Linked DNA regions of Oreochromis niloticus. The protein of the gene in region 2 interacts with the protein of the main gene of each other region in a pairwise test. Links are inferred from orthologs where the notes say so. Each region holds a gene or a part of one and is shown on either strand. Other genes may lie near its edges. The genes, in order: kiaa1143, cep76, lg12h22orf39 and cryba4.

The links.
Region 1: the proteins of cep76 (region 2) and kiaa1143 interact in binary tests that used the Homo sapiens proteins (3 or more experiments, as listed by UniProt). The two-hybrid records come from large-scale screens. The link is inferred for Oreochromis niloticus from reciprocal best matches to the Homo sapiens genes CEP76 and KIAA1143.
Region 3: the proteins of cep76 (region 2) and lg12h22orf39 interact in binary tests that used the Homo sapiens proteins (3 or more experiments, as listed by UniProt). The two-hybrid records come from large-scale screens. The link is inferred for Oreochromis niloticus from reciprocal best matches to the Homo sapiens genes CEP76 and C22orf39.
Region 4: the proteins of cep76 (region 2) and cryba4 interact in binary tests that used the Homo sapiens proteins (3 or more experiments, as listed by UniProt). The two-hybrid records come from large-scale screens. The link is inferred for Oreochromis niloticus from reciprocal best matches to the Homo sapiens genes CEP76 and CRYBA4.

What each region holds. Positions count from the first base shown.
Region 1 is NC_031976.2:5,087,471-5,095,436, forward strand, and holds the start of kiaa1143 (uncharacterized protein KIAA1143 homolog), read right to left. Parts: upstream 3,003-7,966; 5' UTR 2,905-3,002; coding exon 2,791-2,904; intron 2,227-2,790; coding exon 2,076-2,226; intron 1,115-2,075; exon of another isoform or gene 1,098-1,114; coding exon 880-1,097; 3' UTR 1-879. Other genes in the region: uncharacterized protein si:dkey-31c13.1, read left to right, coding at 3,289-3,400, 3,535-3,719, 4,456-4,566, 4,738-4,878, 4,956-5,595, 5,717-5,952, 6,531-6,706, 6,780-6,972.
Region 2 is NC_031976.2:5,547,314-5,554,393, reverse strand, and holds the start of cep76 (centrosomal protein of 76 kDa), read right to left. Parts: upstream 3,001-7,080; 5' UTR 2,798-3,000; coding exon 2,735-2,797; intron 2,153-2,734; coding exon 1,997-2,152; intron 1,764-1,996; coding exon 1,679-1,763; intron 1,586-1,678; coding exon 1,361-1,585; intron 1,253-1,360; coding exon 1,067-1,252; intron 1-1,066. Other genes in the region: ptpn2a (tyrosine-protein phosphatase non-receptor type 2a), read right to left, coding at 7,024-7,080. UniProt on the Homo sapiens protein: Centrosomal protein involved in regulation of centriole duplication. Required to limit centriole duplication to once per cell cycle by preventing centriole reduplication.
Region 3 is NC_031977.2:25,885,668-25,892,631, reverse strand, and holds lg12h22orf39 (synaptic plasticity regulator PANTS), read right to left. Parts: upstream 2,764-6,964; 5' UTR 2,269-2,763; coding exon 2,200-2,268; intron 1,502-2,199; coding exon 1,334-1,501; intron 1,245-1,333; coding exon 1,113-1,244; 3' UTR 504-1,112; downstream 1-503. Other genes in the region: mrpl40 (large ribosomal subunit protein mL40), read left to right, coding at 114-341; ufd1l (ubiquitin recognition factor in ER-associated degradation protein 1), read right to left, coding at 3,834-3,908, 4,005-4,089, 4,831-4,919, 5,000-5,050, 5,124-5,192, 5,274-5,342, 5,591-5,663, 5,759-5,889 and 2 more. UniProt on the Homo sapiens protein: Negatively regulates long-term potentiation and modulates adult synaptic plasticity. Stabilizes the interaction of RTN4 isoform A/Nogo-A with its receptors, inhibiting clustering of postsynaptic AMPA receptors at synaptic sites.
Region 4 is NC_031972.2:9,182,332-9,189,944, reverse strand, and holds cryba4 (beta-crystallin A4), read right to left. Parts: upstream 2,959-7,613; 5' UTR 2,610-2,958; intron 2,002-2,609; 5' UTR 1,997-2,001; coding exon 1,958-1,996; intron 1,599-1,957; coding exon 1,480-1,598; intron 1,311-1,479; coding exon 1,169-1,310; intron 1,032-1,168; coding exon 889-1,031; intron 743-888; coding exon 595-742; 3' UTR 503-594; downstream 1-502. UniProt on the Homo sapiens protein: Crystallins are the dominant structural components of the vertebrate eye lens.

The DNA.
Region 1 (7,966 bases), about 460 kb from region 2:
ATGCAGGAGAAATTTACACCTGAAACCGTGTAGATGAGCTGGTTTCAGAATCCGTGCATTTCACAAAGACGCTGCTTCAACTACCTGCCTGTGGTGTGTGTGAAAGAGCTACACTGAGGTAAAGCCGTATGGTGATGTGCGTCTTCAGTCAACTCCAGAATCAAGCAGGAGCTGGTTTACATCAGCCCGGTTCTCTCTGCTTGTGTTTGAGACATTTATAAACTTTGAGGTGTGAAAATATGAATTCTTGTCCCACAGCCATGACTTTAGTCCACTGAGAACTAAACCACCTTAAAAGTTCATATTTGTCCTCACAGAACACACACACGAGAACATGCAAACTAAAATGTTAAAACAACAAAGTCACGGGGCTGGAAAAGAGCAAACCCCAAGTTCTACAAAGTGACACAAGTCAACACAGTCTGGTAGCTGTAACCAAGGGAAACGTCCTGCTAATATGTCAGAGTGGGCTTTCACACAGCAGCTGAACCAACTCCCCTCTTATCAGTAACACAGTACTGTATAAATGTCCTTGTGTAGTTTCTGACCCTGACATGGATGCAGGATAAAGTTACACTAACAGAAGTATAACCTCATCTTCTTTGATGCGTGTTCATTTTTTCCCCTCGGCTTCACTGTTTCTGTTCAGACTGTTAAATGGATCAGAATCATCCCTGTAGTCAGACGGAGACAACTCGGAATAAATTCAGTTTGTGCCAGCTGATTTTTATGCTTTACTAAAAATGTATGAATCTATGTGTCATGTACGACATGCAAAAACAGTAGCACTGTCCTTTAAAAAGAATGGACAGGCTGAACCATGTCTTATACTCAGTACAATGTTCCTGTTTCCTGACAGCCTACTCTCACCACTTCCATTCAGTCCTCCTCCTCCTCATCCCCTCCAAATGACAGGAGGCTGTTATTTTTAACTTTCTTTCCAGATGCCTCCTTTTTCTCCTCCTCCTCCTTTTCCTTGTCCCCTCCACTGCTCTTCTTCTTTTTGCTGGAGCTAGCACCGATGCCCTGGAATTTATCTGAGGAAGAGCGCTTGGCTGGTTTCTTGAAAAGGATTTTACCATCAGGGGGCTGACCATCTGCGGAGCAGACGGCGGTATGTATGAGCAGGGTAGCAAACACAGGGTTTTATGTTAACATGCTGTATACAGTGCATACATATTAGTAGTGCAACGGATCATGGTTGATCCGTAATCCGAACCGATCCCACTCCACGGGGATCGGTTCGGAGAACCATACACATACAAAAAAGTATGTGTATGGTGCGCGTGGTCAGTCTGTCAAGCGATAGTTATGGCCAGCGCTAGCAGTCCAAGTGGAGGAGCAGAGGAGTTTGCGGCATTTAAGCAGCCCTTTGCTGCCCAATCCGACCGGGTTCAAGCTATTACAAAAGCTATTGGGGTGTTTAGCTGCAGACGGGAGGCCATATTCCGTTGTGCAAAACAAGGGGTTTAAACTATGATGAACGCGCTTGAGCCCCGCTATGATATCCCGTTGCGCGTCCACTTTAGTGGCAAGATCGTTCCAAGCATGTATGAGCAGGAAAAGTTTAAAGTTATGGCTGAACTGTCCCAGGCATCTTCTGTTGCCCTAACTACAAATGGGTGGACCTCCAAGGACACGGAAAGCTACGTGACCGTGACCGCTCATTATATCACAGCGGAGTGCGATATAATGAGCAGTATGTATTATTGTAGGGTCTACCTTACAATATAAAGCGCCTTGAGACGACTGTTGTTGTGATTTGACGCTTTGTAAATAAAATTGAATTGAGTGGTAGATACAAAGCCCTATATTGTACCATAATTTGTTTTTATATAATTGCGTGGAATGAGTCTTGAGTTGAATGTTTTTAACAGGCAAAAAATACTTCAATAAGTAAATAAGTCAATGTTAATTTTTTTTTCTTTTTTTGCTGATCCGAAAATTGATCCGATCCGTGACTTAAAACCGTGATCCAATCCGAACCGTGAAATTTTTGATCCGTTGCACCACTAATACATATGTAAATATTTTCTTACTCCTGGTGTAATTAAATCATTGAACTGGACTCTCACCTTTCTCTGAGCTGCCTCCAGCCCGTATTTCATCCTTCACCTTCTTCACCTCCTCTGCAGTCAGGTCTCCACTTTTAAGGACCACGACCTGAGGCAACTCGTCCTCTCGATCGCTGCCGCTCTCGTCATCCAGTGTTGGCATCACCTGACGCTGAGATAGCAAACAGACCGTCAGCCTGTTTGAGATTTTTTTTGTATTTTAAATCCTACATTCACTGTGAATGATGGTGCCGAGGTTTCTTATTTCATTGATGATCATTTCATCAGCAGCCCTACACTCAAACTAAAATCAGGAACCTGTAGTTCAGAGTCATGATTCAAGTTCTGGCGGGGTTTTCTTTTTGGGTTTTTTTGAAATGCAACTTTATACAACTTCCATTCATGAAAAGCCATGGCTTTCTGTTGTAGAATGTAGAATACATAAATTCAGTTGTAGTACGCCTGCGCAGTCACAGCTGAACGCTGCAGCGCAGTTTGAAACTGCTCTGATGGTCTGAGAAACAGCTGTAGCTCGTGCGGCCTCACTGCTCAATTCAGTGAATGGGACCCTCCGTTGAATTATGATTCAGAGCATTTATTCTTCCTTATATGAACACAATGCGCCTACGCTCAGAAACACACGTCACAAAGTGTAACTGTCACACAACTCAAAGAGCTAATGGTTTGGTAGGCCAGGGGCAGCTAACTGGCACGGCTAACCAAACCGCGTAGTTACCTTAGTGTCGACATTCGGTCCCTCTTTGTACCCCACATCGCTCTTAAACTTCTTGAGAAAGGACGGCTCCGCCGGCTTCACCCATGCTACTCCGCGGCCCTTATTTTTATTCATGGCAAAGAAGCAAAACAAGACAAACAGCCAACGAATGCAGACTCCAGACCTGAGCAACTTCCGGCTAGCACGGACTCATCAAAACATTGAAACCGTCACTAAACCGCGACGCGTCACGTGACTTCAGGAGCTACTGTCATTGGTGGATTTGGGAACGTTGATGCCACAGCGCTGCTTGGTGTTACATTGGATCTGCACAAGGGACGATAATCTGTCGCTCACTCACAGAAATGATTCAAAGCGAAACATCGCAGAAAAACTAAACCGATGAATGTCCTCCACATAAAGCAGCAACTCGCCCCGTTTAACTCGAAGAAGCAAACTCTCCGCTGTGACTGCTCGCAGCGCCGTTAGCTGTGTGAACATGAAAAGTTAAGCATTAGCATGAGACACTTTGAGAACTCTGCCGATCTGGACTCTTTTATTAAAGAACTGGAGGAAGAGTCTCAGACTAAGTTTATCACCTTTTCCGTGGACCGCCATTTTAATGACAAAGGTAACGAAATGAAGAGTGACTGCTGGCTGAACACAAGAGCCGTAAACACTGCTCCCTGCTATGGTTCAGTAGTGAGTGTGTCGGTTAACGCCAGGGTCTTATCATCAGGTCATGTGCTTGTATTTGTCACACAGATTGGCATCCTTTGCCCGGAAACCGGGTCTACTGGCAATGGGCTGGGGGCTCTGGGATGCCAGCCACTGAATTCACCGGAGTCCCATTTATGTTTGTGGGCTCTAAAAGGCTCGTCTGCCATCAGGGCAAAGACCTCGCCGTAGCTCAGAAGCAGAGATATGCCGAGGAAAAGGCAAAAAAGACGGTGATTTCACTGCACGTTCAACACACACACACACACACACACACACCCACACAGGCTGGCTGGTGATGCGAGGAGCCTAGGGACAATCCTGCTGTGATTGGTTGTTTCGTTGCCAGGCAACTGATGACGCTGTAGCTTTGTAGAAAAAGGCGCGCAGAGTAGATGAGTTGGGAGTAGTGCTGTGGGATACTGAAATTTGTGTATCAGTCCAATACTAAGTAAATACAGGACCAATAGTGACAACACTTTTAACCTATAAAAGGCAGCTTATGTAGTGGAGAGCAGTGCGTCATGATTTATCAGACGAATCATCATTAATGTCCAATTTCTGAACACAATTTAATGGCCTATAAGTCAGTGTGATTTTTACTTTTCTACAACAAAACACACCTTTTAGTTTTTCATGTATTTTGAAATTGGGGCTTTCTGGAGACCTTGGATGTGGCTGTCTCTAAAGCACTTTTGATCAACTACTGTCGTTTAAAGGTGCTATAGGCTTTAAATCCTATTGTGTTTGTACCAATACCGGCATTGGCATGGATATTATCAATATTAGGATCAATCTGCTCACCTCTAATGGACAGCAGTGAACCACAGCTACTAAGAAAGGCGCACTACTCCTCCACCTGTTTCTCCTGTTAACTTGAGTATGCTTAGATGTTCTGCTCAAGTTAGCTAACCTTGACATGAATTATTGAATTAATTATTTAACTGATTTCTTTCCCATAATCCACAGATGATGGACCACACTTTAGTTAGGAACAAATCAAACTCGCAGTCTACTAAAAAGGTGGGATGCCCAGCAGCCATATCAATCAGCAAGATCGCAACATTCCCTAAATTCAAGGTAAGTGGAAATGTTGGCTCTCCTACAGGGATATGATCTTTAAGCGAAGACAGCTGAATTTAAAGGAGAAAGCCTTGCAGTATGAGTTTAGGACTCAGACTAAATCATTTTGTTTCGGCACGTGTTTCTCTCCATGATCACCACTCTGATTTCTATCTGCATGCATCATAGTTGGAAGAAGACAGGGAGAGGAGTAAGAAGGCAGCCTCCAAGATGCTAAGAGAGGCCTTGGAGAGAGATCCAGTTGTATGGGGAACATGCTATGTTGTCACACAGCCAAGTGCGCATGCTGGGCACGCAATGGGAGAAATGGTAACGCACAACAGTCTGCTCACAAAGGACGAAAACCTGTGTTTCCATGTGAAACTACAAGTGTGCTATATTTAAAGGAGCCCGTGGACGCAAGAGTGGAGCAGCAGGTGGTGGAGCTCAGAAAGCAGGGCGTGAGGAAGGTCAGCGAGCTGAAGCGTCATCTTGCTCAGTTTGTAACAGCCGAGCTTTTTAAGGGAGCTAGCCCACCCCCTGCGTCCAGGCGCCGGTACTACCCCTCAGAGAAGGACCTCCGAAATATAATGGCTAAGGTGAAGGACCAGGCTCGGCACAGAATCGATCAGGTGAACCTGGAGGTGAGTGGCGCCTTTATCATTCCTGTTTGGGTAAAACACCAGCATGTGACTAGTCCGTATAAAAAAAGAAAAAAAGACTGCCTCCGTACAGAGGATGCCTCCTTCCTCTTCTGCCATCAAACGTTGTGGCAGATGAGGCTGCTGCGCATGTATGGGGCAGATGTCTGCGTGTTCGATGCCGCCTACAGAACAATCCGCTACCCTCTGCCCCTTTGCTTCTTGTGCGTCCGCACCAACATGTGCTACTCCGTTGTGGGAGTGATGGTACTGCAAGAAGAAACAACAGAAGCCATCAAAGAGGGTCTGGAAGTCTTCAAATGTTGGAACGCAGACTGGAGGCCAGCAAGCTTCATGGTCGATTGCAACGCTGCCGAAATCCGAGCTGTTGAGTCTGTGTTTGAAGGTACGGTGAGCTAAAATGAAAACAAAGTGATCACTGTGGATTTTTACTCTTTTTATACATCTTGGTGTTATGATTATATATCAGTGTGCTCTCTATTCAGTCTCTTTCTATCTCTGTGCAGGCACCAAAGCGCTGTTCAGTGACTTTCACAGGGAGAAGGCATGGGATGAATGGATACAGAAGGAGCATCGAGTGGCTGACAAAGAAGATGCTCTTGCAAAGCTGAAAGCGATAGCCACCTCGCTCACTACACAGCAGTTCGAGGAGGCAGTGAAGGCCCTGATGGCCAGCCACACCTGGGAACAAAATCCTGTGTTTCAGAGCTGGTTTTCAGACATGTGGTTGTCCAAAGCAAAGGTAAGCATCTGACAAAAAAGCAGCTCCTGCACAGAGACATTTGAAAGAAAATGGGACAAAAGAAGTTGCAAAGAAAAGAGGTTTACTATTTTGTGAAACACTAACATAAAATTAGAAGAAAAATTGGGGATTTCATCAACTATGATACATTATATCATTAAAATAAATCATCGTCAAGTTTAAAAGCCTGCCTCTGTTGGGGGGCTGGGTGGCCTGAACACAGCAACATGGGTGACTTGCTTATGTGTGACAGTCACATTAATGCTGAAGAATACAGCACAAGCCACTACCTTCCAGATTATATCCTTTTAAAGTAAAGTTTGGCTTATTTAAAGTTGCAGTGAGTAAAATCTCACCACTAGATGTTGGTAGATATTAAAATATAGATAGTAAAATATATATATTATATACATGTTCAAAAGGTTAAATGGTCATATATAGTTTGAAAGGGTTATTTGTGATCTTTAAGTTAAGATTAACCTATATGTGGCCTGTGCCAGGTGATAAAGCAGCCTGGCTTCAAACAGCTGAAATTCTATCACCACAACAAACTCTCACTATATCTTGCTTTGTTTAAGAGATGGGTGTCTGCCTTCAAAGAAGAGACACTGAATATAGCCATCATCACAAACCATGAGACCGAACGCCAGAATAAATTGTTCAAGCACAAATACCTGGAGGACTACAGGAACCGGACATTATCTGAAATGCTGGACATCGTGACACACATGTACATCCCTGAACTGTGGAGGACGTAAGTTTTCCATTTGCACAAGCTTGTCTTCAGTGTGCACGTCATGTCAGCAAAAATAATGTTTCTCTTTCAGGTACATTGAAGCTAATGTGAGGTCATACAGACAGTATGACTCCAGTGTCCCTCCTTTCCTGTGGGACAGACCCACAGACGTCATTCAACACATCACGAGCTGCATGGACAGCTCTCTCTCTGAGGGACGTGGTCAAGCTGGGCGATGGTGTTTTCAGAGTGAAGAGCGAGACACAGGAGGACCAGTCTTATGAACTGGCATTTGGGTCAGACGACAGCTTGCCCTCCTGCCAGTGTGATGACTGGAGGCGGTACAAGTTGCCATGCAAACATTTCTGTGCAGTCTTCCAGACGGTCCCTGGCTGGACGTGGCAGCAGTTATCCCTGAAATACAGGGAACACCTGCTTCTTAACCTGGATGCCACGTGTTGCTCCATGACCCCAGACTCAGTGGACGAGTGGGGCATGGAGGTAGTCAGTGAGTCAGTAACCTGCAAGGGTAAGGTTTATCTGCAACATGAGAGAAGAACTTCATAAAAGTTACTGTCTTACCCGCACAATCATTAACCTGTAATCTCAAATTTTAGGGAGTGCAAATTTGTCTAAGTGTAACTTTCTTTGCAGACACACAGGTGACCTCTGACTGTGACAGTCCACCACGCAAGCGAGTGAGCAAGTCATATCTGAGGAAGAAATGTGTCAACCTCACCAAACAACTCATGGACCGAATATATACCAGTGAGAGCCAAGACACACTTGAGGAACTTTCTGAGACATTAGGCAGGCTGGTGAAGGGGCTCACATCTGTGTGTGGAAGTGAGGATGGTATGCTTCATCTGGAAGCAAAGCGGGTCAGAGTTTCCAGCTGCACAGACTGAGGGTGAAACCCACAAAGAGGCTGTCCTCTAAATCATCGGAACCCTTCCTCCATCAAGGACACGCAGACACTCTTCTTTTCAAACCTCTGTACGGTATCACATTGGCTCAGTTCTTATGCCTTTAGTTATTTTTTACAAGGGTTACATCAGTGCATTTGTTCACTTTTTCATTGGTTATATGTGCATCAATCAAATCATTCCTTTCACACGCCCATACAAAGTAGCACTCACTGCCTTTACTGTTAGGCATGGTTTGCTTGTATGTCCTGCAAGGACAGTGTTTTAAAAACAAAATGATTAAATGGAGAAAGAACTAAATGATTGTGTGTGTGTGTGTGTGTGTGTGTGTGCGCGCGCGCGCGCGCATTTT
Region 2 (7,080 bases):
CTCAGCTCCCTCTTCACCACGACGGACCGGTGCAGCGTCCGCATCACTGCAGCCGCAGCACCAATCCGTCTGTTGATCTCCGGCTCCCTTCTCCCATCACTCGCGAACAAGACCCCGAGATACTTAAACTCCTCCACTTGGGGCAGGAACTCATCCCCGACCCGGAGTGGGCACTCCACCCATTCCTCCAGAATGGCACATCAATAATCCCTACCAGGATTTCTGTGTCTCCCAGCATAGTCTCAAGAGCATGGAAGACATTCCAGGACACAGGAATGTCTAAGACAGCTAGACATCCTTAGATCCTTAACCCATCAGCATGACGGTATCTGCTCCTTTATGCAAGGAGGAACAGGATGAGCACTCCAGAGCTACAAAATTATCTTTAGCAGGTCACTGGTGTGAATGTCTCTTAACAAAAAAATCAGAAACAGACTTCATTAGAGTGGCCTGAGGGCCTGATGTCCTCTAATGGCTCTGTGTTTTTCACAGATGAGAGCAGGTTCACCCTGAGTACATGTGACAGATGCGAAGGGGTTTGGAGAATGATACTGCCTGTAACATCATTTGGCATGACTGGTTTGGTGGTCAGTGAGTGATGGTCAGGGGAGCCATATCTTCACAGCCCTCTACAGGCTAGGCAACAGAACCCTGACTGCCATTAGATATCAGGAATAAATCACTGGACCCAGTGTCAGACCCTACACTGATACAGTGGGTCATGGATTCCGTCTGGTGCAACACAATGCCCGGCCTCATGGGGTGAGAGTATGCAGGCTGGAGGACGAAGGAATTTATACCACTTACTGACCCCTCCGCTCACCTAAATCCAACAGAGCACCTCACCCCAGAGCACTGCCACATCATTTTTTCACTTTTATTGTGGGAGTGTCTTTGAATTCAGCACTTTGTAGGTTGATCATTTTCATTTCCAACCAACACATTAACCGGTCTATATAGCTAGATATCCAGCATGATTTTTTGACTTCTGCTTTTGTTCTTCAAAATTAAAATCAAAAGAACCCTTCATTAGAAACTCTTTGTGCAGAGAGAGTCTGTTGCTCACCAACTCCCATCAGCTCTACAGCAAAGCAGGTCTTGCAGCTGGGCGAGCTTAGGACAGTCCTCCAGTCCAGGAAGTAGGATGAGACAAGCATTGTTTCACTTGAGGTGTCTGTTTTTATCAGCACAAAGTGCACTGGGTCACACACTGACAGCATGGAGGTCGCATCTGCCATCTTACCACTTTCCCCTGGAATACAAAAATTGTAAAATTATACTCTGTACATGGATGGTTTATTAAGCAATACAATGAGAACAGTATTTGTGATTGACACAAACAGTTGTGGTTAACACACACCTATACCGTCTCTGTGGATCTCTAACAGGAAGCCCTCCTTGAGGTCAGGTTCACAGGCACAGGGCACTGGCTTTGATCGAAACCTCTGGTTGCGGAAGTGCAGGTAGAGTGTGAAGGTAGAACACACCTGACCAGGTAAGGGCTCCGGCTCCTGGAGATGCTCCAAAAAGGCTTTCCCTCCAAGCACCTGGAGATACAGGCATCGCCTTGATGGGTCAATATTGGCTGAGAAGAGAAAAGTAGAAGAGGAATAACGTTAGGCAAAACAATCTGTGCATCATATTATTATTTGCTTGGTATGCAAATAATGTTTCTTACTTTTTTTCAGATGAGTGATATCTTTATCAACAAAATGAGTAGCAGGTTTTGTAGGTGATCCCGTTTCTGCTTCTGTGCCGGCTTCCTACCACGCCAAAATGACAAGACAGAACAGTCAGAAAAGATGGGACAGAACTGACACACTGTATTACAGATATTTTTAATCCATACTGAAGGCAAACTGTGAAAGTAAAACGTAGCTATCAAGGGGATTGATACATTGTAGATGTTTGATTGATGGATGGAATGAAAAATACTTCTATATTAAAAACCAATTAGCAATGCAGGTCTGAAATTGCATCAAAAAAGCTGGGAAACCTGTGTAAAGTGAAGATCTTTCATCATATCATCTATGATGCCTCTACGCTGCAGAGCACGCAGGAAATCTGCTTCAGACAGAGACCGACGTGCTGGGCCTTGATCATCCCTCACAGTCTCAGCCAGGACCTCTCGGATCTTCCCATGGATATCCATCTGACAAACAGAAAAACAAAATTCCTTCACCTACTTAAAAATTGTGTTTGTGCTTTCTAAACATCCTCTAAAAACAGTCCTTTCCCATTTAAACTCTGATTTTGGGAAGTGTGTGTGTATGTTTTATATCAGTAGACCTATAAGTACCGTCTATTCGGTGCATTATTGATGCGAAATCTTTTCTCATTCATTACTTTTTACAAATCAATTTTTCATTCAAATCAGCAACAAATGTAGGATCGAAATTGGTCTTGTTTGCTGTGTGAATTTGTACTTTATCTGCTTATAGACGCTTGGCTGGAAAACAGCACGGGTTCCCAACGGTGCTTTAAATAATGCTGTATAAAGAGATGGTGCAGCCAATCTTACCAACTAGGTGGTAATATGTGATTTCTCTGTGATGTGCAAATGCAAGGAAATAGGAATTTGTGACATTAAAAAAAATCTATTTGCCCACTATAAACAGCTAGCTTCCCCCCTTCATGAAAAATACCCGTGTAACCATGCTGCTTAAGGACTTCAGCATTCAACTGTACATTGTTTACAACACGAATAGCCATAAAATCTATGTAGTTTTCTCACCTTGAGCAGATGGTTGTGAATGATTTGCTTCAGCTCGGAAGCTTTTTCTGGAGGCAGCGACATTATTGCTATTATTTGTGCTTTTTAGGCTAAGCTAGCTAGCCAGGCTTATACATGGGTACTGGTAGAAACAATAAATAACGCCGTTGAGTTATAATGAAACTTTGTGTGCATTCGCCATTTTTCGCAGAAATGTTCTTTTCTGACAGCAACAACTGCCAGTTCAAACAGTGGCGGAAAAGCGAGCGGGAAGGTTTCTCCGCTGATGCCCGACACCATACTCCGGAAAAAAAATCAATACCTCGACAATTTTGCTCTAAAGTTACAGGATTTATAAGAATCACCATATAAACCACGATATACGTATTTTTGGTGGTGCATTTATTGTAGTTTTATTTCATTTTTGCTCACCAAATATTCCCCATTTTATTCAGGGATATTTTTACGTACCCCAATCGCGTCACGAATTGCGACGACATGTGAAAGACCCTTGAATTGTAGTTTAAATTATAGCCACTGTTTTTATGTTTATTTTTTATATGTGGAGGCGTTTTCATACTAAGGCAAGACATAAATGGATCAAATTACGCATATCCTGCCTATCGACAAAGGAATAAAAATTTAAACGTAACTTTCTAAGCTTTAATGACTCGTACGTATTATAAGTACTTATAATTATGCCAGTAGGGGGCAAGATTTGTGTCAAATATCAGTCAAGTGTTTTAAGAAAAAGACACTTATGGTGAATATGGTTGCATTATAACTGACCTATTGTTTAAATTCTGTTAATGAGTAGAGAGTGTCGTCATTCGGGGAGGGGCGGGGTTCAATGGATGAAGAATGGTGAGGAAAACAGATGTTACAAAGAGGTGGTGGGTCGGTAAAGTCTTAAGTTGTATGTGAGACCAAATACTAATGGATGAGAAAGGGACAGATTGGCTAGGCAGAGAGATCGAGCTGGAAAGCACGTGTAGCAGGTTAGAGTGATTCAGGACAGATATAGCTATGAAGTGAAGAAATGGAGTTGAGAAGACTGAAGGAGTACTTTGAGGAGCTGATGAATGAAGAAAATAAGAGAGAGAGGAGGATGGATGGAGGACAGTTAGTGAATCAGGAAGAGCCAAGGATTAGTAAGGAGGAAGGGAGGGCAGCTACAATGGGATCCAGAGTGGAAAGGCAGCTGGTCCAGACACCATACCTGTAGAGGTATGGAGATGTCTAGGAGAGAGGACAGTGGACTTTTTAACCAGATTGTTTAACACAACCGTGGAAAGTGAGAGATGCCTGAGGTATGGGGAAGAACAAAGGTAATGTGCAGAGCTGTAGTAACTACAGAGGGATAAAGCTGATGGGTCAGCCCATAAAGATATGTGAAAGAGTTGAAGCTAAATTAATATAGGTTATGATCATTGAGCATCAGTATGGCCTCATGCAGAGAAAGAACACTACAGATGTGATGTTATATTTAAGAGTAATCATTGAGAAGTATAGAGGTCAGAAGGTGCTTCACTGTGCCATTGTGGATCTAGAGAAAGCGCCAAGAGAGGAACTGTGGTACTTTATGAGGAAGTCAAGAGGCCCAGAGAAGTGTGCGAGTGTAGTGCAGGACATGTATGAGGCCAATGAGACAGTGGTGATGCATGCAGTAGGAGTTATAAACAATCAAGGATCTGCTCTGTGCCCTTTCTTGTTTTCAGAAGCAATGGGCGTATACTGACAGTTGAGGTCAGGCAGGACTATGATGTTTGCAGATGACACTGATCTGTAGTGTGATTGGGGAGTAGGTGGATGAGAGCCCATAGAGGTGGTGGTATGGACTGTAGAGGATTAAAGTCAGTAGAAGTAATACAAAATACAAGTGTGAATGAGAGGGAGACAGGTGATAAGACGACCGTACAATAATTAGAGAGAGTGAAGATAGAGTTTAAATACCTGGGGTCAACCATCCAAAAGCAGACAGTGCAGGGGAGAGGTGAGGAACAGAGTAGAGGCAGGGTAGAAGATAAATGTCAGGGGTGATTTGTGAAAGGACAGCAGAAACACTGAAAGGGAAGGTTTACATATCGTCTCTTTTGAGATGGTGGCACTGACAAAAAGGAAACTGAGCTAGAAGTGACCAAGCTAGAGCGGAAGATCTCCGAGGAGGTTCATGGGTGTAGGGAAGGAGGACATGCAGAGGATTGGTGTGACAGAGCAGGATGATGCTAGGGACAGTGTGAGATGGAGGGCAGATGATTCGCTGTGGCGACCTCTAAAAGGACCGGCTGAAAGAATTAGGAGGAGCTGTACGACATAACGACAAAGCAGAGATCGAGCCAGCATCAAACAGACAAGCTGAAATAAGTACAAAGGCACAAAATACATTCAACACAAAATACACACACAGTCCCAGACAAGAGAAAATGAAATTACTACAGCAGTCAATGTGAGCATGGCCTCTTCTTGAAATATTGAATCAATTCCTGGAATCCACAGTGAGAGGTCTCCAGTCTGTCTGCATTGATTTAGCTCATGGTCAGAATGAAATTATGAGTAACAGCACAGAAAGTGGGTGAGATGGGAAGAGCTGTGGGTAAAGCTGCTTTACGGATACAGAATTAAAGAACAGGCAAGCAAAGTTTGGTTTATAAAAAAAAAAAAAAAGAAAAAAAGAAAATTTTATTTTTTATGAAGTATTTAATGTTTTTGTTTGGTTTTGTCATTTTTCTCATCAAAACTCTTCTGTCATGTTCCACACTGCAGCTCAGTGTACAAAACTCCCCTGAAAACTGTACACAGAAAACAATAAATGAATGGAATGTTACACTTCTCTGGGGTTAAATAAGAAAATAACAATATTAATAATAATAAAATAAAAGCCATGTTCTACTGTAGCCAATCAAAAATTTCACTTCAGGAGTCAATACATGCTAATGACACATTCAATGTTCAATCAACTCAAACACATGTTACTGTACACCACCTCTAATCTGGTCATTGCAGTGCAAACATGTTACTCACATTATGTGCGACATGACAATTTTCTGTACTGATCACACACCAAAAAAAAAAAAAAATTCTGGGAGCGCACTTTTTTTTCCTCCTTTCCCTATTTAACACATTTCAAGGCACATTAAACGCTTTATCAACCAGCCCACAAGGACATCGCTCTCTTCTAAATTTAATCCAAGGTGCTCTCCTTCAGCTTCTAAATTGCACTATTGTAGCTTTGGATTGGTCCCAGTCAATTGAAAACCGAATCGGCGATCATGTGGGTTCAAAACACGGACAGGATGTAGAACGGTACTAGCATCATTTTGTAATACAGGTGTCAGTTATGACAGAGAGATTCAACAGAATATACATTCGACATGAGGGGAGTATACGAGGGTTCATCATTAGGAGCTTGTCTGACTGTTACCTTCCTAAAAACAGGCTTTGGTTTCTTAAAATAAACAAAAAAAAAAAAAAAAAAAAAAAAAAAAAAAAAAAAAAAGCGTGATCACCTGAACATACACAGACCAACCCATCCAGTGGGTAAATAACTTCCTAGGGGGCAACGTTTATGATCCATGTGGCAGCTAACAAATGCAGGCAAAAGAAAGAAAAAAAAAAAAAAGTGTGCACATAACAGAAAATGAACATTCTAGCAGAGTGTGAAACATTGGCAAGGAAGCTCCCTATGAAGTGTCCAGTCACACAAAAATATTCTTCTGGCCGTGTTGGGATGCCCTGCTAAATGTGAATGGAAGAACAAGTGGTGGTCTGGAAAACCACAGAACGCATGCATTTCATTATATTACATTAAAACTAAAGAAAAGTAAAACCCTACAGCTGACCTCTTGGCTCTGGAGTTTTCCTACAAGTCTACAGTAGGATGAACAAGTCAACACAAGTCATTCTGAAATGTAAAATGTAAAACGTGTTGATCGACACATATCTGACTATTACAAATAAAGAATGTAAAAATAAACCTGTCACTATATATTTTTCTTTGTACTGCACCTTTAGTAAGTTTCTGCAAAGCCATTTTTGCTATGATACAGTACATTCATGAGCAGTGACAAGAAGGAAAGGAAATTAAATCATCGTGCTGGCACCGAGATCCTGAGATGTTACTATTTTTTTGTTTCGATCTTACATGAAAAATATACAGACGCTCGTTTGATCTAGCGCTCCCACATTTTGACCTTGAGAAATAAATACCCTCAATTCTGCACATATTACTGTCTAAATCTATGTCGAGAAGAAGTACCTAATCCCAGGTACCGGTGCAAAATAGGAGTCAGTTTTAAATGACCCGCAGTGCTTCACTGGGAATACATCCAGTACAGCAGGCCTACAGCCAAGACAGCCCCGGCGCCGGC
Region 3 (6,964 bases), on a different chromosome or scaffold from region 2:
ACCACTTACCTATCGCACCTGCGTCACTAAAGCTTTTATGGAAAATGTTACATCTGACCCTGGCTCTCCATTGCATGCACTTAGTGGGTTGTGTCTGTCTGATGTTCTTGCAGAAGCAGCACATGGCTGAAGTGGAGGCTGTTGAACTGGCTTTGGAAGCACAGAGGGAGGCACTGGAGGAGCTGAAGCTGGAGTCTGAGGAGCTGTATCGGGCAGCGCTGAAGCCTGACCCGCTTCTTATTCCCTTTGTTCACGAAGGTCCCACATATACGCCAGCAATACCCAATTATGACGCTCCTGATGGGAAATACAACGATATCACTAAAGTTTACACACAGTGATAGATGAGGAATGGCTGTGTAGTTTAGTGTGTCTGAATGTTATTCACTAAGCAAAAATGCAGCTTCTGCGTCTTTATTCCTTCATTGTCATTCATTGTGTGAGAGTTACAGTGAGTTTGTGTCACATTAATATTTCTGTCTATAATAATGAAAGAAATCGAATAAAAATTTACATCTTTTTATTGATCCAGTTTCCAGAATCTTTTTGAACATGTCATGTTATAAGGCAGAAAACTGCTACACAACTCTGGATTCTGTCATGTCAATTTTTCAGTAAGATTAAACATCCCATAGACCTGACTCCAGCATCAAGAGCTACATAATTAACCTTTCTTAAAGTCAATTCATATGCTTAGCAGCTGACAAATACATATAGGCCTACCAGTACCATGCAAAGACCTGGCTCTTCACCTTTTTCAAAGAGAATGAAGCAGATCACTGATTACATGGATTGATTATATATCCTGTCAAAATAAGGATAATATAGAGCTAATTTTCACAGAGTCTCCGAGTGCAGTCGGTCTTTGTGCTTAAGTTTACACAAGCTTTGCAGAATTAGTACCTATGACACACCAGCCTGCCTGGAAAGAGATCATATTCACTGATAAAACAGAGGCTGAATCCTCATCGCTGACCACTAGCTGCTGTTAGACATACTGTACATATCATTTTACATACAGCAGTTCTCTGAATACAACTCATGACAGCTCGTGATCACAAGAATGTCCAGGCTCTTTAACTGAAACACAGCATGTTGTCAAAACTCGATGTTCAGGAGTCCTGAGGCTTCTCCTGGTTCAGTGGCACGTGCCAGTCTCTAGGAGGCTCCTGCCTGAGCTGCCACACTGGAATGAAGTTTCTTTGCTCTGCCACTCGGATTTTCTCACTTCTCCGCAACGCCTCCTGCAAGACAGATACAGTGAGTGTATTTATACAGCCTGGAGGGGATCACAAAGTCACCCATTTAGGACTTTAATTTCTTGCTGTTCCACCTTAGCCTCGGTGCCTCTATGTTTCTCCCACTCTCTGCAGTTATGGTAGTCCTCTTTCCACTGCTGGCAGGACGGCACGGTACCGTAAGTGTAGTAGTGGTGAAAGCAGTTTTTTAAACTTTTGCAGTGTCTAAACTCACTCCAGTAGTCTTCACATGCCCGCGGTGGCTGTGGCGACAAAGCAAACAAACATGAGAATAAAACTTTAAACTTCTGTTGGGATTCTGGTGACTGACATCAGTCGAGGTCTTCATTGTCTCCCCTCCAAAGGATGAAAGTAATGCAAGAGCAACTGAGGATCAACCTTTGTCCTTCACCTAGGCTAAAAATACAACCTCATTTCATACTGAAAACTCACCACGATGTGACATCTTTTGCGCATGCGGGCCGCTTTGAGCGTTCACACTAGAGCGCGTTTGCTGTCGCATTTTATTTGTAGTGTGAACGAGCAGACAAAAAAATCGGATTTGATCAAAAAATCGGAATTGAGCATTAAGACCTGCAGTGTGAACGTAGCCTTTGTTGGGTACACCTGTCTAACTACTTGTTACTAATAAAATAATCAACCAATCACATGGCAGCAACTGAAAAAGAGGAAATATACAGTGAGGGGCAGTTCTCTAAGCAAAAATACCTTGTCAACGTCAAAGGAGAATAGCCAGACTGATTCGGACTGAGAGGAAATCAACAGGGACTATCAAAAGTACCACCAAGATATGCAGAAGACCATCTCTAAATTCACGGCATGTCAAACCTTGAAGTAACAGAAGACCACACCGAGTGCCGCTCCCCAAGAACAGGAAACTGAGGCTACAGTTTGCACAGGTTCAACTACACTGGGCAAAGGAACACTGGAAAAACGCTGCCTGCTCTGACGAGTTCGAATTTCTGCAGCGACATTTGGCTGGTATGGTGAGAAGTTTATTGATGTTCATCTCACATTTCTGTCAGCAGCAAGTGTGTGATGCTGTCGTGCCAAACTGGAAATCTCTGATGAATGTTTTCAACACCTTCTTGAATCTGTGCCACGAAGAATTAACGCAGTTCTGAAGAGAGTCTAACCCAGTACAAGCATGACGTAATGGCCGGTGAGTGTTTAACCTGAGTCTCTAAAGTGTTCAACATTGAAACAGCGCCCCTCTGCGGTCGTATTAAGAATGGGCTGACCCTCAGTTTGCTCAGTGGCTGATTTGACTTTCCAACTACACACATGCTATTTTTAAATTTGACCAGCAAGCCCAGATATTAGTGCATTTCGTGAATCAAAAAATATACTTCGCCTCCTCGGATCTTCTTTGTCTGACACTGCTAGATGCTACAGAAGAGTAAATTTGCGGTTTAGCATCTAAAGCTAATCACCTTGCGACCTACATCATCAGGATTTGACTTTGATTATTTTCAGTCTTCTCATAAACAATGCAAATCAAATTAACTAAGGAAAAGTTATCAGTAACGAAATTAATAACGTAATATCTGGTTTAATTACCCTCCATGCGATTTCTCCCACAGCCCTGTCCATCGCTAGCTGCGACAGCTTTAGCAACTGTACTCCTTCCGGTTTTAGTTTTCACAACAAAAGCCCTTGCCGCATTTCTGTAGCACTTATTTTGAAAATACACGAGGCCACGAAGCATCAAAACCAAAAATGTGTGCATTGCTGAAGGTCGTCATTGTGAATTTACAGTTTATTTAAAGATATTCTGCTTTTAATGGAACGAAAAGTATAAATTATTTGGAACAATATTTTTTCTGAAACAATTAAAATGTCGGTTTTCTCAAATCTGAATTTGTAGTTACTATTGCTGATTGAGAGCTCAATCATTCATTATTTTACCCATTTATGTAAACTCACCAATTCCAATAGTTTATCCACTAATCATCTTCTTCATATATAAATACTCGACTCAAGTGATGTCACAGAAAGAGCATAATACCTCAAAAAATAGGTCTGAGTGCAATTCATTTCAAAACACCATTTTATTTCTATATAAATAAAGCAAAAGAAAAGATTCCTAAAAGTCAGGAAAAAAAAAACCTTCAAACATAAAATTATTCTCAGTATAATCAAAACCAAAAGCTCCCATTTTATAGTAACACTGGGATTGTGGATAACAGCATATTTAAAGTGGATTGTAAAAATAAAAAAAGAATTATGGAAAAGATGGGTCTGCGCAGAGTCGGAGATCATTCAATCTGATATAAGAACAATAGTTGCTGTCATTTTTTCATGTTCTTGAAGAGACATTTCCTGAAAATCAGTCACTCTGAATTTGTGAATACCAAATTAGAGCTGACATTTTAGGCTGCTCAGATTCTTTTGAGCAAAATATTACTGTCAGACTTTTAATTACATGCTATAATCAACTGCAAAACCTCCATTTCAAAAGGGACAGGGGCAAAACCCAACGCATCTGAAAACCAATACTTTAATACACCTGCTGAAGGTGAAAAGAATAAGATAGGTCTGTGCACATAAGTCAGACTCCCCGTTTGTATCTCTTCAAGGCTTTCGGCCCTTCTTGCGTAGTGACTGCCCTTGTCCAGAGAAGGCGATGAATCTGTTCATGGCATCATCCTGAGAAGATTTAGAAGAAAATGGAAAAATATGGCATGAACACTAAATATAAGACTTTAAAAATTGCCAGGAAAGAAAACTGTTTGCATTACTTACATCATCCACAATTTTCTTGGGCTGAGGCCTGGAGTTTCGAATGAAGGTGATCCTGCCAATTTTGAAGTCATAGTTGGGAATCCCTCTGTGTGACGAAACATTAGACACACAACAGCTTGGGAAACCATTGTCTGCGTGGTGTAGCTGTGTGCTGTCACCAGAGCACAGCTTAAAAACATATGTAGGACAATACCAGTGTATAGTTACATTGGTATATTTTATACTTCTTTGCTGTTCAGTACATCTTAGTAGAGACAAACACTCACCAAAGCTGTGCAACGCCATGTGGACCATTCAGAAAGTTCAATAACCACTCCAGTTTTTGTTTTTGTTTTGTTTTTTTTTAAAGGTAAACAAAGAATTTTCTGACAATTATGGTATGGTTCAGGCTTTAGCATTCAGGGTTAAGACCAGGGTACCTAGTTGCCTTACAGCATAAATCCGGTATTCCTCTCTGTTTTTATGAAGCATAAAAAAAATATACATAAAAATGCTCAGAACTCAGACAATTTAAATATATCTCCTGACAAACTCATGTGCCTCAAGATGTCACATTCTATGTCTCAACTCAGCTCACCAACTTACGCCTGACCAAACCTGCAACACAGGTAGCCCTGTCTGAGATCTCTAACATAGCCTAATAGATATAATGGTTCCTGCTTGGGGCCTTTAATATACTGAACAGCAGCAGTTTGAGCTGACTGTCATTCCTCTCCTAATCCCTTTCACAATATGCTGTTAAATAAAGGTGTAACATTCCCTGTAAAAATAGCTTGTCTTAACAGTTGAGCTAATTTTATGGGAATGTGTAAGACACTCTTTTCACCTTTTAATGTCACTTGGGGCGATGGGAGCAGGGCTGGGTTCAATTCCTTTAGTTTTACCATCCAAACGATTACCAGAACCGGTGAAAGCCTGAAAATAAAGCACAGATTAGAGATTAAATTATGTTCTTTAAGTACTTATAGTAGTAGTACACATTAACTTGAACTCACTCTGAAGCCTGTGTCCATGTCAGCATAACTGCTGGGATCTGTTTCTTCCTCCTGTCAGAAATACAGTTTTATTACATTGTTCAAAGCAGAAAATGTACAGTTACCATGATGGTTTGCTCCTTACTGTTGGTTCATCCTGGTGATTAGGCCGTCGTTCAGGCTCTTTGTAACCCAAAGGAGCATCAAAATCCACCTGAACAACAAAGTAACAGCACATGAGCAAGCAAAGCAACAGAAAAATTCACTGTGACTGTAGTGAAGTCCGGGATCTTACATTCATATCACACTCGATGATGGATACTGCTTTATCTGGTTTGGTCTCCATTACTCGCAGCTCATATATCTGAAACACACAGATTACCTTAGCCTCGAAAACAAACCACACACAAAATCACACGTCACACGTAGGCTGTAACAGAGTATAGAAGCACTTGATCAAAGCCATCCATGACCACATTCATTATAGGCATTTTTTATGTGTTTTCAAACTTTAAAACTGCAGAAGTCTCCTGTTTAATCTTCCAGGAAACTCTCCAAGAACAACCCTTGGTCACATATAATTACAACAATGATTTAAAGAAACTGATTCACCTTTTCGTTGTAGTTAATGGCTATGACGTCACCAGTTGTCAAGCATGCAAAGTTTCTCAGTGCGTTCTCCAGTCTGTAATGAATGTTAACCACTTATGTTAAAACATAAAGTGTCAAAAAAAATAAAAATTTAAAGTTCAAATAAACATTTCAGCCTGTACTCCTTACACTGCTTTGGGGTTTGTAATGTCCAGGAAGTCGGGGCTCTGAGGCTGGAACTTTGAGTAAGTGGCCACCATGAGGTTGACACTTTCCACCTGAACGAGACCGCCTTCCTCTAACAGGAGATTCTGCATCATCTGCAGCGAACAAAATACAGCAAATGTCACTCGAGCCTTCATTTTTTTCTATTTCCATCCATCTATCAAGTCATGGGGGAAAGAGTGCAAGGTGGGAGTACTCGGGGAGAACCTATGCAGATAAAGGAAGAACATCCAAACTCCGCACAGAAGGCCTGCAGCCAGCTGGTATATTTCAACCCTGAATCATTGTGCTGTGAGAAGATAGTGTGAACCACAGCATCGCCAAAGATTTTAATCAGCAAAGAATATTTAGTTCAACATGTTGCAAATACCAACAAATTTGGATTTTTAAACTCATACTTCTACAACATTGTTATCCACTTCCACACAAGAAGAATAAGTAAGTGCTCCTCCACTGCTGACAGGAGACAGTTCAGCCTGTGTGATGGTGACATTAAACTCATTACTGTTTCTCACCCAGTGAGGTAGGTAACAGATTCCCTCGTCTGCCACAAACTCCAGGACACCACAGTGTGTCATTCTGTCTGAGTTCTTGTTGGTCAGCTTGAACAGCATTGGATAGGTAATGTTAAGCCTGCCTGAACAGAGGAAAATAGAGCAATGCTAAAAACAGGATGTAAACAGGACATTTAGTAAGAAGTTTTTGAATAAACGTGCGCTTACTGAGCTGGTCGAGAGCTGAAGGTGGCATTATTACTGAAAAGAAAAGAAAAATAACAGTTACTTTAAGGAAAATATGTGTTTTCATAAAATATGTTGAAATACGATATGCAACTTTCACCTCATACATACCAACATAAACTTGGACATTTTGAGGATATTGTTTTTACAGTTGTCTTTTCTAACAAGTACCACAAAGCAGTAAATAGTTAAATAGTTAACTTCAGATATGTTTGCGGTACCGGATGTATGTTTGGACAAGGGAGCTGGTTACACCATGTGGATGTTGGCACATATTACACCCACAATACAGTGGTGAATGCAGAAAATTAGCTACATGTAAACCTGCCAAACATTACACCATCGCTCATCAAACTCTATGTCCAATTTGACTTCATCAGACATTTGAGTTTTCACAAGTGCTTCAGGAGGAATCCTAGTCAGATGGCTG
Region 4 (7,613 bases), on a different chromosome or scaffold from region 2:
ATAATTACCATTAGTGATTACTGACTTATCAAAACTGATTATTGAATTATCAAAGATAATAATACAGCAGCATTTGTCCCTCCATAGTGTAGTGGACACAAATCCCCCCTGGAGTTGTGCCAGGAAAGGGGGTTTCTTCCAAATCAAACACATGGGGCTGCCCACTGTCACAAAGGAAAGCAGCTTCTTCTTCTTTAATAAGACAGCAATGTTTGATTAGCACATATCTCAGAAAAAGATATGTGAAAGGACTTGCAAATATTTGTTACAGTTTGGTTCACATTTATTAATCTGGTTGACATTGAGCAGTTACATAATAAGCTAAATACTTGGTTCTAAATGGCATTTTTTTCCTCACATTCACCCTTATTAGCAGGTAACCGCTGTACACCGTCATGTGAATTATACAGAAGTGATCGCAATTCAGAGGAAAACACAAGTGTGCGATGTATAAGTGATTTAGTATGTCCATATGATAAGCACATACACTGGTGGAAGTCAGTAAGGTTTAAGAAAAACAGTTTATTTAGCACGGGCAAGCAGCAGGGGTCAAAGGTGAAGGGTCACATGCTAGAAAGGGTTTGGTGTAAGTTATTACTGCTGAATACGGCGGATGGACTGGATCTGAGGGGTCTGGCAGTGAGAGCCAAACTCCCTGAAGTGTTTGTACTCCCCACAGTGACGATCGCACTCCATGATATATTGGTATCCACGATAACCAGGATACTGGTAGCACACAAATCTGTTGAGAAATGACAGACGTGGAAATGCAAATGTTGTGAAATGTTGCAAAGCATATTGTGAAAATCTGAGTAGGGTTATTTTTTGAACTGCTGAGAGAATGAGGAGGGGGAAAAAGGAGGCAAATAAGCAGCTGGGGACACTCACGCTCCAGAATGGATCCTTAGAGAGCCAACTTCATTGTTGCACCAACCCATGGCCTGGAGGGAGGGGTAATCGTCGCTGAGCTCACCCTTACGGCCCAGGAAGTTCTCACGCTCATAGATAGTCATACGACACTCTCTGTGGTTCTGGAGGTGGGGGAGGTAAAAAAAGAATACATTTGAGTAGTTTTTCAGGTCATGCAAGTCTACATTAATGATTTGTCACAGCAGCATTTGCACATAATGCAGGTTTTTCAGTGAAAACAAGCTGAGAGATAACTTACAGCACAGGCAATGGGTCTGAAGGAGGTCAGTCTCTCAATGTGATAGGCATTGCTACCTCCAAAAGCATCACACTGGGGGTACTCTCCCCGCTCCAGGACGAACTGCTGTCCCTGATAGGAGGCATGCTCATAACCCACCCAGCTGGAAGGAAGCATAGAAAAAAAAAGATTATTACATCATCCCAAAAGTTCTTAAATCCGCTTATACGGAGGTTAATAACATCCTGTCATGTTAACTGTATGTCACTTAATGTTGGTTTTCTGCTGCATGTAAGACTGCTCTTTCTATGCGCACATATCTGTTTACTCACGCTCCACTCTCCACCTTGAGGGAGCGAACGGTCTCAAAGCCAAACTCCATCACGTTGCAGCACTCAGAGGTGAACTCATGGCGGCGTCCCTGGAAGCATTCCTCATCGAAGACAATGATCTAATGGGAAAAAGGACATGCAGCTGATGGCTGTATTATCACACACCATCCACTTAAACTTGATGTGTGATGTCTGAAATCACTTCAGCAGCTCGCCTCAAACATATAAAACTATGTTAGCTAAGCTAATCGCTCTGAACTGGGAGATAAACCACTTTTAACAAGGCCTAATGCACAACTGTGTGATATTACAATCCTAATGAAGTTTTTATAGCGTCCTAATGTGGTGTGACTTCATTGGGTACTCTCCCTGATGCTCAACTGTATGAGGCGTTTTACAACAAGCAGCTCGTGGTCCCATCTGAGGGAAAATTCAAAGGTGCTGATGAATAAAGCTGCTCTTCCATCTGCAGACTCACCTTCCAGTGGCCGGAGAACTTGGTGCAATGGTGAGTCATCTTGTCTGGAAGGAAGAAAGAATTTTATCCACGAGTGCTAACAATGAATAGACAGCAGTGACAACAGGGAAGCCACACACTCTGAGAGGTTAGCAGTCATTTTATTCTGATGCAGAAACTAGCCAGAAGCTAACCAGTAAAGACAGATGTGTGAACCAGAAATCCAAAAAGTGAAGAACAGGAGATCGGTTCTATTGTCAGACCTATGAAAAAACAAGTCTGTGTCGCAGGTACAGTGTGTACTTTACACATAATGGGCAGGATACTGGAAGCAGCCTGAATTTGTAATTGCTAGATGGAAAGCACCAATGTCTATTTATAGTTTGGATACCAAACAGAAGAGGGTCACAGAGGCCACAGGCTTCATTTGGCTACTCTAACTTCTTTCTCTCTCTTTCTAGTTTTTCTGCCCATTTCTAAGATTGTTCCATCATCGTCACTGTTCATCTCAGCCACTGGGTGCAGTGATTTCAGCCGTGGAGCCTGGATGGTGTGTGTTTGGAGTGGGAGTAGATATGGATGTGTGAATATGGGGGATGCTATACCCTGGCTGTGGTACCCTGGCTGGCCGTGCTGGATGGCTGTGGCGGCTGGGCGAGGGACAGGAACTCACCTTGCTTGATGCCCTTGGGTTGTCCTGCCGTGAGAGTGAGAGGAGCCACACGCCCCCACCCTTTTAAAGCCTCCCCTGGCAGGGGTCCATGCTGAAAGCCCCGGCTCAGCAGCAGGGAGGGGCTTTTCTTTGTCCCTCCCTGACAAAAGCATCGTTAATCTATGGAGGGCCAGAAGTGCAGACACCACATTATCACTGGGGGCAGTGGACACAGAGACCAGGAATATAAGAAATGAAACATAGAGTGCAAGCTGAGAAAATACTGAGAGCCAACGGCATCAGAGAGGGAAGAGAAAAACGCAGCTGGAAGCTCTTTAACTCTTTATTTCAATTTATGTCTGCAAGTAAAGACCAGTCATTTTCTTAGTTAAATGGTGCTTCATTTTTGCCATTAAATGTGTGAAATTTGCAAATATAATAATGGCCTGTCATACCATTAGAATTTGTTGATGATGTGAGACCAACACACACAGACAGAATGAGCTCTGTGTGCATGCCTGTTCATGTTGGTAACAGCGGTGAAGCGTTGATGGTGACTCAGAGGATGTGTTTTTTTCCACAACATGTTTGAAAATAGTACAACAGAAAGAAAGTTAAGAGAATCGCAAGATCCTTTGACGATTTTATGGACATAAAGACAATAATTCGTTATATCTACTAAAAAAGGTTGGTACCAGAGTTAAAGCACTAATTGCGACGGCTAATTACAATGGCTATGATTGTTTTTTGCAATTTAGTGTCAGAAAATAGGAAGAGTACTAGATGGCTCTGTCTGATATATAGCTTATTTAACCTAAAGCTAAGTCTTAAGGAAAAAGACCTCAAGTTTTTAAAACGGTTATAACAAAGGATTTTTATTTGCAAGATCACTATTTGGAATCTGTTCTCAGTCGCTTTGATGTCACTTTCAGGTGCTCGGGCAGGTAGCAGGCTGGCTACATGAAATAAATTTTTAAAAAAAACAAAACAGAAAAAAAGCAACCTCATGCATGTGTCAAAGCAGATTTTCAGTGCAGATAGTATTCTTATGAAAGCCTCCAATGTGTGCAGTGAGAAATCTAACCAGTACAGATGAAGTCATTCATCCAATTATGGCAAACACTAATACTTACACCAGAATGCTTTCTAACATGAAACACGTCTCCACATCTGAAATCTGATCATTTGAAGTGTTCTAGTAAGAATACGTGGTTGATCACACAGATCATAGCAGCACTCTTTCTTTGTGTGTTTTATTTTTTTGTTATACTCATAATTACAGTAACAAAGCCTACATTTTATCAAATGTTTAACAGTTTAATGAAAAAATAAAAAAAAGCCCTCAATAGTAAAAACAGATTTAACCTGCATGCTGTAGTGTAATGCACTAGATAGGACTTGTGGGCTAGTGAGTGTCTTGTGTGTGTGTGTGTGTGTGTGTGTGTGTGTGTGTGTGTGTGTGTGCTTACATAATCAACCACTTGTAAACAGGAGAGCAGAGGCACTTGTATGGACAGCACAAATTTGTCCTTATTTCCAGTGAGCCTAAAGGAATTTCAGCTTATCTGCAACTTTTAGACATAATTCACTGCCTCAGATCTTCATATACAAGCCTGGCTTAATAAAAGTTAATTTCTCTGAAATCAAAACAGAAATTGTAGTTCAGAGAGACCAAAAGTCTCAATGAAAGTTCAATCATCCATATCCAGCAAATCCCAAAAAGTTGATCCTGTTTATCTGGATGTATCAGTGGGGGAAATGTTTCATCTCTCATCCAAGTGACTTTTTTTCTCCCATCCTTATAAACAGTATCTTTGTATAATAACTGAAACTAGCACCACGGACTAACAATGGGCTGTGAGGTCAGTTACATGATCATTAAGGTTGGGGAAACCTGCAGTCAGCTGAGAATGAAGAAGTCACTTACAAGAGTGACAAAACATTTCTCCCACTGAAAACACTATGTCCAGATGAACAGAATCAACTTTTTGAACAGAGACCAAAATGTTTCCTGCCTGAAAAGAGTCAAATTTCAAAAATATCAAACAGGTTTCCTCATCAGATTTTTTTTTTTTTTTTTTTTACACAACAAGAGAAAAAACTGATCTGATTCATCTTACATTAGAAGGACAATGTTTACTTACCAGTGGACTTGTGCAATCAGCCATGATAATGATGAACCCCTCTGAAAAACAGACTAAATATTTTCTTCTTGAGAAAGCCGGGGAGGGCTCCTGAGACCCCTGGCAGTCATCAGAAAATTGACCAACAAGAATGAAAGAGCCAAGGGCTGGTCAAAATCAATAGGTTCCTTTCATTTGGCAGGACATTTTGTGGCAGTGTCAGAAGATAAAAGTAAGTAAGTAAGTAAGTAAGTAAGTAAAATTTATTTATATAGCACTTTTTAAGACAAGAAGCTGTTACAAAGTGCTTCACATGGGAATGAAGGCATGTCAAACAAACAATATAGCAATATTAAGGAAGTATAAAAGCATATCAAACAAAGCAATAGTACAGTATAAATATAGCATAACACAACATATTACACACGAACATTACCCAAATGCCTGTCTAAACAGATGTGTTTTAGTGACAATGGTCAATGCATTTAAAAGTCCATGTGTGTTTTCTGCCTAAAAGTGTAAAGCAGTGACAACCACTCATCCAATCTTCTTCAGACTTGGCAAGTATCATCATCAAAATTATTATCATCGTAAAATGAAGTCACAGATATAAGCTCTTGCTCTCTTTTATTTCCTTCTAATGATGTCAGCAGCACTAGCATTAGCTATCATTAGTGAGGAACGCTCACACAATGGTTTGTTCTAACTATTAAAGGAACGAATCTCTTTGGTTACAATATTTGCATTAAAGTGTGCTATGCTATGTTGTCAGCTTCACTGGCAAAAGGTACAGGTGTAACACACAGGTACAGATACCTGTTAGTAGTAAGAGACTAATAAAATAGCAGAATTTCACTCACCAAAGCTTCATGGGTGTGCCATAAGACACAGCAAGCCTGAAGTAGTGAAAGTTTCTGCTTTTTGTACCAGACCGTGAACAGGCTTTTTAATGCTCCTTACTTCTGCATTTGAAACTTCTGCATTGTGGATCTATGGAGATGCACTTGCTTTTGGTGCAGTCTTTAATATTATTTTCCCACTTGATGCTAAAATGTTTAAAGTCAGCCCTACCAAGTAGGATCAGATATGTGAGGCTAGATGAAAAGATGTAAAGTCTCCATAATGGGACTGAATCACAGCAATAGTGTATATTCTTTACAGTAAGCACTGCACCACTCTTTTCTTCTGTATGAAAAAAGAGACCACAGTCAAGACAATGTCCGTTTGGTGACATGTTCATTTATTACCCCAAACACATTTATTTCAACTAAACTCCACATACTCAATCCTGCTGTCTGAATACTCACTAATGTCAGTCCCCTGTTGTCTTTATGAGTTACTTTGCTAAAAATGTTGGTGACTTTTCTTTCTTACAAATGAAACCGTGTCTGTGTGGCATTCTGAAATATCAGGAAAAAGTCTGACTAAGATTAAAAATCCCTTTCTCAGGAAAGACCTGACCAAGAGGGCAGCAGAAATTACAACAAATCACAGCATGGAAGTCACCCAGATTACACTGCAGGATTAGTTCACATATCAAACGCAATTTAATCCTCCTTCCATCGTGGAAATGATCTCAGCTGAAGTGATATAATCCACACATAATCCATTCGCCATAATCCCATAATTATTACCACCAACAATGACCTTTATTCAACCTCTGAAGATGACCAGGAGGAATTCTCATGCACAGTTGTGTGGCAGTGCTTTTTTGTCCAGATTACCCACCAGTCAAGAACTACTAAATATTATCCTAGCAAAGTTAAAGGAAGTGAACATGCTGCGTACGCCCTCTTTATCTTAATGTACCGGCTATAATGACAGCCTGGATAAAATGTAAAGCGTAAGGTTGGGGTGAGGCTAGTAAAACCCAAGCTTCTACCCTACTTGGCTCATGCTATTGCATTGATTTACATTTATACTGTTAATTTAACACGATACCACAGAATAACTGAAAAAATGCTGCCTATGCTCTCTTTGACAAACACCTGCTTTACACGGGCACTGGATTCATAATAAAAGTGTAAAATTGTTGTCAAATCCCAAATTTAACAGCAGGTTCTCCACAAAAACATCTAAACATGGACAGTGCAGAGAGAAACTGTGACAAAGAAAGGAAGATGTCTGGACATTCAGAGTGTTACACACGAGAAGCTACAGAAACACCATGCACAGAACAAAAACTCAAGTTCTGCCTCTTTCCTTACCTCCACATAGTGGAGCAATAACAGACTGAAGCTGTAAGAATACATTACATATTGTATATGATGATGATGATGATGATGATGATTGTTACTGTGATATATGATTATTGTGTCCTGTGAACAACAACAAGAATACACTGTCCTGTGTTGAGTAGCACAAATTGTCTTTGGTTTCTGGTACAAGAATTAAAGATTTAATATCTGGCTAAACAAACATGATGCTGATTTTGGAAAATGTCAGATGCCAAACCTGATGTTGATTGGAAAGATGCTTTTGCGATATGAATGTGTTTATCATCTGTTAAGCAGTTGGCTAACACTAGTCAGAACTAGAAGTAGATATCAGTAGTAAGTGTTAGTGTAGTGCCAAAGCATTTAGTGGAACAGCTCTGGTGAACCTGGATCTCAGTGGGAGAAAGAGAATCTCCAGTAACTCAATTAGCTTATAGTTTATTAATGTTCACACAGCAAAATGTCCAAAAAACAAAAACACTTCATTTGAAATGCTGTTTGATTCTTTGTATGGAGAACACATAGAAGATCAACATGAACAAATAGATCACTGCCTTTTTTTGTTTTCTGTCTGTGTCTGTTGTGGTGATTCTCCAAAATCAAGAAATGGCAGTGATTTAAAGTAGAAAGTCTGAGCTAAAGAGTATGTTGTATTTGTGTTTGTGTGCGTGCCTTTTCTGTGTAGG